Linked DNA regions of Nothobranchius furzeri. The protein of the gene in region 1 interacts with the protein of each later gene in a pairwise test. Links are inferred from orthologs where the notes say so. Each region holds a gene or a part of one and is shown on either strand. Other genes may lie near its edges.

The links.
Region 2: the proteins of hoxa1a (region 1) and fam221a interact in binary tests that used the Homo sapiens proteins (3 or more experiments, as listed by UniProt). The link is inferred for Nothobranchius furzeri from reciprocal best matches to the Homo sapiens genes HOXA1 and FAM221A.
Region 3: the proteins of hoxa1a (region 1) and nell2a interact in binary tests that used the Homo sapiens proteins (3 or more experiments, as listed by UniProt). The link is inferred for Nothobranchius furzeri from reciprocal best matches to the Homo sapiens genes HOXA1 and NELL2.

The regions. Positions count from the first base shown.
Region 1 is NC_091751.1:29,552,116-29,556,428, forward strand, and holds the start of hoxa1a (homeobox protein Hox-A1a), read right to left. Parts: upstream 2,801-4,313; 5' UTR 1,633-2,800; coding exon 1,032-1,632; intron 674-1,031; coding exon 294-673; 3' UTR 1-293. UniProt on the Homo sapiens protein: Sequence-specific transcription factor. Regulates multiple developmental processes including brainstem, inner and outer ear, abducens nerve and cardiovascular development and morphogenesis as well as cognition and behavior.
Region 2 is NC_091751.1:26,510,185-26,514,225, forward strand, and holds the start of fam221a (protein FAM221A), read left to right. Parts: upstream 1-1,199; 5' UTR 1,200-1,274; coding exon 1,275-1,339; intron 1,340-1,471; coding exon 1,472-1,645; intron 1,646-1,728; coding exon 1,729-1,919; intron 1,920-2,002; coding exon 2,003-2,076; intron 2,077-2,140; coding exon 2,141-2,270; intron 2,271-4,041.
Region 3 is NC_091744.1:61,426,165-61,430,255, forward strand, and holds the start of nell2a (protein kinase C-binding protein NELL2a), read right to left. Parts: upstream 2,843-4,091; 5' UTR 2,625-2,842; coding exon 2,573-2,624; intron 2,397-2,572; coding exon 2,268-2,396; intron 1-2,267. UniProt on the Homo sapiens protein: Plays multiple roles in neural tissues, regulates neuronal proliferation, survival, differentiation, polarization, as well as axon guidance and synaptic functions.

The sequences.
Region 1 (4,313 bases):
TGCGCTGCATACCCGCCATGACCCGGATACACCACTTTACATTTGTTTTCGTTTGCAGACTCGTGTCTGCCTTTTTTTGCTCACGTTACAGATCAAACTTATCTGAAGATACAGAGATGTTCTTGCAGACACATTGCACAATTTAAACCTAAAGCTCCAGGGTGATCCAAAAGCTCCCGGATGGAGGACTAACTTTAATAAATGTTCACACAATGTCATTCACGAACAAAGACTCTGGTTTTGATACATTTAAACGTTGGTATTTACAGGCCCGTGTGGCCCAGATAGGCTGCTCAGGTAGAGGTGTACGTGTCCGTGCCAGTGGAGGACACCGTGGATGAGCTGGGAGAGGGCGTGGACGGCGCTGAGACGGACCTCTCAGAAGCGGCATCGTCTAATTTCTCTTGATTTATTTCTTCCGGGTGCGATGACTGGACCTTAGCCGGCAGCATCCCCTCTTTCTCGCGCTTTTTCTGCTTCATCCTCCGATTCTGAAACCAAATCTTCACCTGAGTCTCATTCAGCTGCAGCGCAGCAGCAATCTCCACTCGGCGCGCCCGGGTCAGGTATTTGTTGAAGTGGAATTCTTTTTCCAGCTCTGTCAGCTGCTTGGTGGTGAAGTTGGTCCGGACGATGTTTGGCTGGCCCGCATAGCCGTACTCGCCGGAGCGACCTGGGGACAGGAAGAGGGATTCAAGTTTATTTTCTCACCCAAAGGACGCACAAACTGTGCGATTATCCAAAAGAACCAACTTTTACGCAGCAGGCAAAGAAAACCTAATTATTTTACATATAAAACACACTCTATAGTTAAAGACAAATGTCTTTAAACCAACTTTTAAAAGAAAGGGGCGCACGCTTGAAGTGGAAACATGGACATTTAATGCGTTTGCGCGTCAACGCGCTCGCAGTGTCAACATCTCCTGTGTGGATTCCAGTCTGCTTGACCGATTAAAACCAATTAAAACCAATAATAGCAACAGACTAGATTCCCACCTATCTCCCTCGTGCTGGTACAGCTCTGCACCCACCTGTTTTCGGTGGATTTCTTTTGACTTTCATCCAGTCGAAAGTCTGCGCAGAAGATGCGCTCTCTGACAGAGGTGAGCAGCAAGCTTCCAGGTGAGCTGCATGCAGAGGTGACAGCGGGTTGGAGGCCCCAGGATAAGAAGGTGCCTGTTCATGACCCCCGCCATAAGCAGCATACTGCAGCTGGCCCAAGGTGGCAGCACTGTAGCCATGGCGATGCTGAGACACCATGGAGGAAGAGATGTTACCTGAAAACATCAAAGGGCTGCACTGGGGGAATGCAGGTGCAGAGTCTACTTCCTGGTTGAGTGTGTAGTGGTTGTACGTGGCGCAGAAACTTTGGGGCCCATAGTTAGAGCCACAGGCCGGGTGGGCCCCATAGGAGAGACCCATAGAGGTGGCAGTAGGCTGGTAAGAGGCCGGCTGGTGAGGGATGCTGTCAGGGGAAGTCCTGTTTGCCATGAAGTGCTCATCCGCCCCGCAGCTGCTGATTGCAGCCCCGCAGGACTGGAAAGTTGTAATCCCGTGGTCCGAGTGGAAAGCCCTGATCGAACATGAGCCACCCTCACCGCTCATCACCGAGTAATCTAGGAAGCTGCTCATTGTAGCATCGTTAGTCTGGGACCAGGAGACTGTCCTCTCCCCCTCTGATCTCTCCACACTCTCACCCTAAAGTGACCGTGCCAACCTTTACCTTTCTGTCCCTATCAGTGCAGGGAGGGGGGTGCTGGGGATATCAATGAACGGGCACTGTCACGTGGGCACGGGTCAGCCAGTGAGGGTCCTTGTCCCTTTAGCCGGTGACAGATTGGTGTTTGAGGGGCTATTTAAATTCCAGGCGCTCGTCGATCAAGGTGACGCGCGTCGCCACTAATGTATTGGCCGAGCAAACAATGGGCTGGGAGGCAGACGGAGGTGGACAGCTCCGGGACACACGAGGAGCTGCTGAGACGGTGAACCCGGTGTCTTTTAACCCCCCTGCTGCGCAATCTCACACTGAGGAGAGATGTCATCCAAGGTGGACCGCTCTGCACTCTGACCTCAGGTATTTTTAGAACAGAGAAGTGTGAGTCTGTGTGCGTGCGCGCGTGTGTTGGCGTCTCCGTGCGTATAAGCCCTGGTGTCGCATGTGTCATTCTGTCCAGGAAGGATGGATGGCTGAGAGTGCGCGCGCTCGCTGCAGCCGCGGGCTATCTTTAGGCTATTAATGTCCCATTCCGATGTGAAATGTTTCACGCTGGAACATTAAGGGATTTTCTGGGCAAATATTGTTACAATGTGATGGAGAGGACGTGTTTCCCCTGTTAAATACATCCATCCCATCGCACCAAGCCACCTTCCAGCAGAATTTCGTTTCCTCTTAAGGTCGCAGCAGGAGCAGGTTTGTGCATTTCACGTTACGAGGAGAGATGATCCGGTCATATATTCATAAAACACCGCAAAAGGATGCGCAAAAAGCTCAAATTACGTTTAAAATGTGCCTGAAGTAGCGCACAAACGTGATTAGGAGACAAAACCATTAAGGTGATGTGATATTAATGTTTTGTTCCGTTCTCGGGTCATAGGTCAGCCATCTACCAGAGTTCCAGTCCCGCATGTATTCATTATGCATGTATGGTGATCAAATGATATAATAATGCGAAGCCTGCTAATGCGCATATGTAGCCCGAGGTGCGAGTGGGCTGATTATCCTGTTAAGTTCATCAAATAAAGCTGCTGGGAAAACGAATGGTCACGGGAGGCGCGAGAGCGGAGGGGAGTGAGGGGGTTGTAGCAGATGCCCAACCTCTAACCGAGGAAGGAATAGAGGAGAGGGAGGGAGGGAGGGCGAAGGGAAGGATCAGATGGAGGGATGAGCGCCCCCTCAGGCTGAAGATAGACATGCACTTAAATAAACGTGCTTCTGTTATTAAGTAGATTAATTCAGCTCAGAAAAGCGTGATTCAGATTTTACACTCTATTTATTTTTCCTACAAACGTCTAAGTTGTCTCACTGGTACTCAAACAAGCAGTATCAGTAAAATATTAGCAACATTCAAATGTGCAGCTTTTTTCCATTAGTCAAATGTAGTTCTACTTTGTCTTAAATGTAATGTTTTAGGATGTTAGAAAAACAAAATTAGATGTGAAAATGTTCAAAGACTTGTTGCAAACTACATAGCAGAGGGAGGGAGAGAGAGAGAGAGAGAGAGAGAGAGAGAGAGAGAGAGAGAGAGAGAGAGAGAGAGAGAGAGAGAGAGAGAGAGAGAGAGAGAGAGAGAGAGAGAGAGAGAGAGAGAGAGAGAGAGACGAACTGGTTTCCATTCCACCCCCACCCCTCTCCAGCAGCTGCCTCTGTAGTGAGTGGGCGCGGAGGATCCATCGCGTCTCTGCTGCTTGAGGCCAGCCGGGCCCCGCGGAGATTCCGCGGCTCTTTGTGTGGCCGCGGGGGCGCAGAAAAGGCGCGCTGTCTCGGAATGATTTGGTTATGCAGGCCCGTAGTGCAGGAGAGCAGCATCTGCCCCCTGCTTCCTCCTACCACCCCCTCATCTGAACACACGCGCGCGCGCGCGCACACACACACACCCACACACGCACACAGCCAAAGTTAGAGCTGATTTTCTGCTTTCGGCTAAGTTTGACACGTTTTGAAAAATCACTGCAGCTTTCATCTCAACTGGTGTTTTTTAGTGATTCTGAGTTAAACTGGATTATTGAGTTCCCATAAATCCAATCAAAGCTGCGCAAGAGTGCTAAAATGTTCATAATCCCTTTATTGAAGTGAGGGGTTTGAAACGCACACAAACCAGTCTTGTCTTTAAATAAAAAAAATCACAGATTCCACCAGTGTGAGTGGAGAAGCGACGCTAAATAAGAGCAGCTTTAACCTGAGCTGCTGCTGCTGCTGTCTCCGAGTCAGAGCCGCGTGTTAAACAAGCCATAAAAATGAATTATTACCAAACGCACGCAGAGAGCTCGGCCCCTTTTAGCTTAGGAATCGGGGAGTCCCGCATGAAAACGTAAGTGGGGTTTTTATTTGTGCACATTACGCCACAATTGCTCTCTTTAATGTCCGCCTCATTCATGCCACGGAGTGATTTATGAGCTCCTGAAGGCAAACATGGGTCGGGTGTTTGCTTGCAACTTGCACGCCGTGTTTGGAGCCTTGTCATGCTCAGATCCTGGGTGCAAATTTGGTCTTCTAATTATTTATTCCTGCAGCTGAAATTGGAAATAGCTCAAATTATGGCTTTGCGCATTTACGAAAAGAAATTATTAAATATAAAAAGCTGCTTACACGTTTT
Region 2 (4,041 bases), about 3.0 Mb from region 1:
CCCTTGTTGCCCTCTGACTAGAAATTACATCCAAAAGCAGCACAATGCGGCATTTTACTTAATTATTAATATGGTGAGTGCATAAACAAACACTATAGCGTCAATAGCTGTTCTTCCAAGAGCAACCAATATACGTCATCGCCCCCAGAGTGCATTGCGTGCAGAAAACATGGCGTCCTATGTATGTCAAAAATGTACTAAATATTATAGATTTATAAAAAACAGCAATAGTTTGTATGTTTCTAACAACATAGTTTGGAACAACAGAAAACTCGTGGCTTATTAGGGCATACACGTCCTTATAGGCGGAGTTCCTTTTAAAATGACAACGAGGAGATAAGTTTCACTTTTGTTTTTATTAACAAACACTAGGGGGTGCTAAAAGCAAGCCAAAACGGCATAGTATCCCTTTAATGATAGTTTAATGTAAAATCAGGTAAAGGCTTTGAAACCTAAAGAAGACACTAACTTGTTAAGGTCTAAGAAGCTGTTAACTTTCACTCCTGCAGAATTTAAAGTGTTTTTCTCCTAACAGAGGATGCTATTTTTAACTTTTATGCATAAAAATGCGTCAGTTCTCGTAAAGAAGTGGATGTCCGTGTGATGAAGATGACAAAGTTACAACAAAGAAACGTTAATGAAATATAAAAAAAGAAGATAAGTGTGGTGATGCATTTAGAAAGGTTTTGAATATCACAAAGATTTGCCATGAAATATAATAATAATAATAATAATGCATTGAACTTATATAGCGCTTTTCTAGACACCCAAAGATGCTTTCACACACACTCACATTCACACACTGCTAGTGATGGTAAGCTACCTGTGGCCACAGCCGCCCTGGGGAGGTCTGACGGAGGCGAGGTTGCCATTTGGCGCCATCGGCCCCTCTGACCACCACTAACACAGGCAAGTTGGGTGAAGTGTCTTGCCCAAGGACACAACGGCAGGATAGCCCTGGCGGGAGCTGGAATCGAACCCATGACCCTCTGATCATGAGGCAACCCGCTCTACCACCTGAGCTACTGCTGCCCCAAAAATATGTATCATTAATAAAAAGGACATTTCTGATATGATACATTTACAACTTTAACTTGCAACGTTGGTTCATTAAAGTCTGGCACGTCTGGATTTTTGTGTGCAGTTTGAGTTTTGCCCACTAGAGGGAGAGCTGCATCTATCTCTATGGCAACCTTCTTTCAGGTTGTAAACAGTCGTTCTGAGCTTAGCAGTAGACAGCAAAACAACACACACAAGTAGTGATATCCAAGGTAATGGCTAGAAAAGGTCTGAATAAATCAGCTTTAAAAGCTGTGGATGACTACTGGGAGTACACCAGGTAGGAGCTTCCCTCCCGACTCTCAGCGTTTTCAGAACTGTAGCAACTAAACGACGTCTAAGAACAAATAGCAACAGATTTATCAGCACGTGTCTTAACTGTTGTTATAAGTCGTTGTGATGTGTTTCTAAGGATTGTGGGTGAGGATGATGGAGGTAACCTCTTCACTCCAGAGCAATATGAGGAGTACAGGAGAAAGGTTTTACCTCAACGTGTGCAGAACAGGTTGTACGTGAGCTTTGGTGTACCTGGAGGTGCTGACTGTAAGCAGATTGGCCCTGAGACGCAGTGCTTCTGCACCCACAGGTAACCTTTCATCTCAGATTACATCACACACCCTAATCTCACTCACACGGACAGATTAATGGGAACAATTTATTATCAAACAGGTATAAGCAGCATAAGACCGAGTGGGAGGTGGTGCCCTCTGAGCGACCTCTCGCTCTACCGTGTCGGGTCAAAGGATGTCTCTGCTCTGCGTTCAGGTTCGTTCCACTTGTGGGATCGAGTCCTGTGCGCTGCAGGTGTAAACACCAGCTCCAGGATCACAGGGAAGATGCAGCACATCTGTGCAAGAAGTGTAAGCATGGCATCCAAACCAAACTCACTCCACACTCAAACTGAAGTTCTTTCATTTGTGTTTTTTAATCCTTTACGTCCCAGGTGACTTCTGCTCCGGGTTCCAGAGTCCGTACACTTGTGGCTGTGGCCAGCCCTGCTATGCACACCAAACCCTGGTACGGAGACTTTAAACAAACACAGTATTTATAGTTATGAACGTATTGCTTTTGTTCTTCACAGGTTGAGACAAAGCAGGAAAGGGAGGCAAGAGGTCAGCCAGCTGGTAAAGGTGTTCCTTATGCGGCCATGGGTGGACTGACGGGCTTCAGGTCTTTGCTGGATGGTTACCTCAACATGGAAGCCTCTTCTGGTAACAATGTCCCCTGTAAAGTACAACTTGTTAATCTTTAAAGCTGCTATAGCCATCCATCCATCCATCCATCCATCCATCCATCCATCCATCCATCCATCCATCCATCCATCCATCCATTGTCATCCGCTTATCCGGAGTCAGGTTGTGGGGCAGCAGCCTAGGCAGGGAGCTCCAGACATCCCTCTCCCCAGCAATCTCAACTGGCTAGCGAATCTGCAAACAAGTTTTGAATGCAATCACAGTCTCGGAGCGCTCACCCCTCCTCTCGGGTGTCTTTCCTGGATCCGTGTTCATTGGAACTGCAAACCCACATTGCCAGAGTAAACCAGATAGTGCAGAACACCACTCGTTGTTTCTAGGTCCAAACATCTTTTGTTGTCCATGACCTCACTTGGAGAATAGAGTCGGGTCGCGGGGGCAGCAGCCTAAACAGGGAGGCCCAAACTTCCCTCTCCCCAGCCACTTGGGCCAGCTCCTCAGGGGGAATCCTGAGGCGTTTACTGGCCAGTCGAGAGACATAGCCCCTCCAACGTGTCCTGGGTCTTCCTTCAGGTCTTCTCGCGGTAAACCTCACCAGGGAGGTGTCCAGGAGGCATCCTGCCCGAGCCACCTCAACTGGCTCCTCTCGATGTGGAGGAGCAGCCGGTCTACTCCCATCCCCTCCCGGATGACTGAGCTTCGCACCCTATCTCTAAGATAGAGCCCAGCCATCCTGTGGAGAAAACTCGTTTCAGCCGCTTGTATCTGCAATCTCGTTCTTCCGGTCACTACCCAAAGCTCATTACCATAGGTGAGGGTAGGAACGCAGATCGACCGATAAATCGAGAACTTCTCCTTCCGGCTCAATGTGGTAGTGTGGCGGATCGGTGACACTGACACCCAGATGGTCCAATAGTTGGTTTTGGTCGGAGCCGTGTTATTGGTGGAGGATTTTAGACGAATGTGAGAGAAGCACTTGACTCATTTATGTGCATCTATATATATATATTAGCTGTACTATATTAGAGTTCAGTTCAATTCAATTCAATTTTATTTATATAGCGCCAAGTCACGACAAGAGTCGTCTCAAGGCACTTCACATTCCAATCCGGGTCAGTTCATTAAACCAATCAGAAATAATGTTTCCTATATAAGGAACCCAGCAAATTGCATCAAGTCACTGACTAGTGCCAGTGACTTTACAGCAATCCTCATACTAAGCAAGCATGTAGCTGTTAAGAGACATAAATGCAGCTTTCATTCAAAACATAAAGCCCAAGCATGCAATAAACTCATTGATGTCTAAGAGTTGTATACAGAGTGAAAACATCAGCTTTCTGCGAGGAAAAAGGACTTTTGAATGCATTTCAGCCTCTTTGACACCTGGAGTCGGTGTTTTTGGCCTTAATCAGACAGTCAGTTCACAGGCGCTCATGTTTTCCATTAGAGGATGAAAAATTCCTCTGAGAGGCTTGTGAGGGCAGCAAAGAGCAGCGTGGAGTCACTACTGACTGAATCATGACTACAGAGCAGGATTTTGTGCAGGTCAAAGTGTGTACAATACGTCTTACTGCACGAATCTGTCTATCTGGAGCAGAGCTGAAAGGCTATTGGGGAAATGTCTTTTTTAACACAATTGCAACAAAATGTTGATGAATATTCTGCCACTTTTGTTCGTATTTGTGTCCTTTCATGGCTGTCATCACCTGCTGCTGACTGGTAAAACTCAAGCTTTTCTTTAGTGACACGATAAACGGTTCAACGAGAGCTCTGGGTCTGCTCATCTTCT
Region 3 (4,091 bases), on another chromosome or scaffold:
TGTCTGCCGGGCCCAGCCAGCCGAGCATCCATACACGAGGTATCAACACAGTCTATCAAACAGCTGGCAGACAGCGCTCTCCTTCCTCTCTCTCATCCCGGCTCACTCATTTCTGCGTCTCGACTAGGAATGTGCCTCCCTCTGTCTGTTTCCGATAACAAACAAGCACAGGGCCCAGGTCTGCTTTGCCAAAATGCAGCCTGCCTCCCCCGCCTCCCCCTCACCCAACATTACTGACTTAACACAGACATCCCAAATGAAGAATGGAGGCAAGCTTGGCCATAAATAACACACAACGCCTGCTCCACACGAGCGACTGAATGTAGAAAAGGTAACGCAGCCAAACACGAGGGCGTGATGACGGAGAGGTGGCAGAAGGTTGCAGAGCACGTTTTCATTTGGTGACAAAAGCAGCGGGAGCTTCTTTTTATAAGTGTCTTTGTTTATTTCCAACTCTTCCCTATAGTCTCAGTCTCTCTCCATCGCTCTATTACACCAGCTCGGCATAAAGCAACTTTCAGTGTTTGTCTACACATAAGCCGTCAAACAGTCTGCCTTCACAAAGACGCTGGAGCTGCTGCACCAGGCAAGCAGCAATGCCGCCCCAGCGGCTGTGCATGGAGGCTAGAAGGTATCAGCAAGAAGATGACAAATCCTGACGACTGTTCGAGGAGTTTGTTCCAAAACAACTATTTGGAATATTATGTGATTCCAGGGGTCATTCAAATGTCAGCAGATCTCAAAGCCAAACATCCATTTCCCTTTCTGCTACTTTGATCAGAGTCAAGATAATCATCTCCATCCTCGTGACTGAGCCGTTAACAGTATTAGCTGAATGGTAATGAGTGTCTGAAGTTAAATGTGGAAAACGTGGAGATGTTTCACTGCACATCATCTTTAAAATGTTGTTATCTCCATCGTACGCAGTTCTACTAAACATCACGGTGAATGTTTTTAATTAAAAACTGAAAACCTGGACACACGACTCACTCTGCTTGTTCTTATTTTGGAAAAGAAAATGATCCAAACGGCTCTGTCACTTTCCAGAAGATGACTTGTTTAGCAAAGTGTTCTTTCACTCCTCAGACCCACAAAAACATATCCTTGAATTGTGTCCCCAGTCTAATCTGATTAGGATAACTTATTCCCACAATTCTTTGCATGTTCCCACCACCTCCTCCTCCCTGGACCCCTCGCTGTTTCATGACCTAATATTGCCGATTGTTCAGGCAGGTGGGAAAACCCCCTGAGGCTTTCTCCTGTCACAGGCGCAAAAATAATCCATGCAATATGTTGCTGTTATGAACAGTAAGAATCACATTTATGGGTATTTGGACAGAGGTATTACTGGATCATCAAACGCCCTCAGAAAAATCTGAACACGACTCAATGGGATTCTTCCGGACTGACTATGGGTAAAGGTTGAAAATAAAATAAAGGTACAAAATATGTGACAGTTCTCATAAGAAAAAACTCAAAACCTTCATAAATGTACACTTTAATCACAAGTAGGCTATATCTTGAAAGGACACCAGTATTTTAATAAAAATATTTAAAGCATAAAAAATCAGGAGTTCACATTTTAATGAATCTGCAGTTTCTCAGTGTTGACAGTGGGTGGCATAGGTGTTCACTAAGTGGAGATGAAAATTTCTAATTGTATAAAATTAATTATTTTTATAGCATCAATTCAGTCTAGCATAAAATATCTACAGCCCAGTTTAGAACAAAACTCTGACAGTTTTATAAAATTCAGACATTTTAAACTCATATAGACCTAAACTAAATAAAAGTCATTTTTATTTGACTGTTGATGAGGAACAAATGGACAGAAAGCATTCCTATAAAAGCAGATAGTAGCTGATGGAGCCCAAATGTAAGCAGGTAATAGGCCTCCATTGTGTTTTGCCATTGTTCTGCCATCTATACTGTGTTTGGAACTAAACCTCTAACCAAAATACAAATTTTGTCGATTGTATAACTCTTGCCACCTACTTAAAATGTAGCATAGAATAAATATGAATTCAATAATAGCTTACTCTATATCTTATAATTGTATAACAAAACTCACTGAATTATATTATGGCCATTGGTTTTGTTGAGCCACCCCAAATTTATTAGAGGACCCAGTTGGTGCACTCTTTAAAGAAAAAAAAACTTTCTGGATGCGCCCCTGCAAAAAAAAAAAGCGTCAGCACAGGAGGATGAGCCACCCCATGAGCTAGATTTAATCGGGGGAAAGATCCAGGGAACGTGTGTTTCAGTACCTTGGAAGTGGAAAGCTCTAGACTCGCCGTGGAAGCCCTGGACCTGAGTAACTCCATCAAAGCCTTCTCCAAGAGTTAGTTCATCAAACACGCTGATGCGCAGGGCAGGGTCAACCCCAAAACCTACAACTTATTCACAACACACAACACAACCAATGCTGTTATGAGTTCAAGAGCACACAAGATTATCTAAAGAAATCACATTTTCTACAGAATCCAAAGCATCTGGTGAAATCCGAACAAAACAAAAAATGCCACAAAATGACTACATCTGCATGTTGCAAGATGGCAACATTGTGTCCTACCTGAGGAGATGCAAAACATGCAGAGAACCAGAAACCGCTGAAATAATCCCATAGTGACTGTCTTTTTGAAACAACTAGTCCATGATTTGTCCACTTGCGAGAGACCGTGTTGTTGAATCACAGGCGATTACAATAAATCCGCCTCTCAAATGAAGCGATTAAAAATCCCAAACGCTGCAGGTCGGAGGCATCATCACAACTTTAGATGCTCCGGTGATGCGAATGAAATAAAAGGCGAATCCAGGGAGGAAGGAGGGAAAACGTTAAGTATCGTGCAGAAACTACGCCATGTACTGAGGCGAGGTCTGGTCCAGTAAGCAGAACCATCCGCGGTACAGGTGGATGCCAGGACGCACAGCGCGAGGCGAGCTGTCCTGCCTCTAGAACCGAGAACTGCGACTGGAGGATGACCAGAGGAGATGAGGAGAGAGGGAGAGCGGGAGATACAGGAGCAACAAGGCCCCCTGCTGGCAACAGATGAGAATGTTTTATGATTTTCTTTCTTCTTACAGCCACACTTGATTCTTTTAGTCATCAATTTCTGCTTTGTTTGGAAGAAACATTTTAATAAGGATGAAAGATGATTTTTTTAAATCAAATTTCATATCATAACTATTTTGCTCATCTCTGCAAAGACTTCCCATGCTTTGCTTGCCATGTGTGTTTATTTGCTTATTCACAGAAGAAATGAGCAAAGAAAATGTATGTTTGTGCAAATCTGGTTCTGTGTTCAATGCATCCAGTCAGGCTTTCTGAATAGCACCACCAGAGTAATGATATAATGCAAAATAAAGTTGTTTATATGAATGAGTTTTTGAGATTAAAGTTGTTTTAAGAAGCGTGCAAAGATGTACTGAGAAAGTGTTAACAGGAGCAGGCCCAATGAAAATAATAGAGGCAGTATAGCTTATGTGCAACCAGCAAAAGGAAAAGCAAAGAAGTGGCACATCCGTGATCACACCTGTGTGTCCGGATAAAGGGGTTTGGGAGGAGAATACACACACATGCAGCAAAGAAGAAGTGGAGGTCCATCAGGACTGATTAGTTTGGTCTGAAATCTGTGCAAAACCCTGGCGGATGATACCAACATAAAGCTAAAGAAGGAATATTAGGGCCTCAGCAAACTGAGATTATTCATCTATCCACATTAAAATGTTCTAAACAACTTCAAAAGATCCGAGCTATGAATAAACCACCTCACAAATCTTCCACTGCATGATCGTGATTCAGAATGAGTTAAATGTCTTTCAGGACAAAGTGCCTGGTAATTTCATAGGCAATAAAGACACAAGTTATTTCTGCAGAAAGCATTTTTACAAGCCACTAAACCCTTGAGTGCACCATGTTTTCATCTGAGGTTTTGTGTATCACATTTATTATCCGGATTAGAAAAATCTTGTTACCGATTTTTCCACAACTTTAGTGATTATTTTAGTCTGACTTTGATCAAGCATGTGTTTTAAGCTACAAAAGTGAAATCCTTGATTATTCACATGAAGAAGCATCATGTCACCATCCT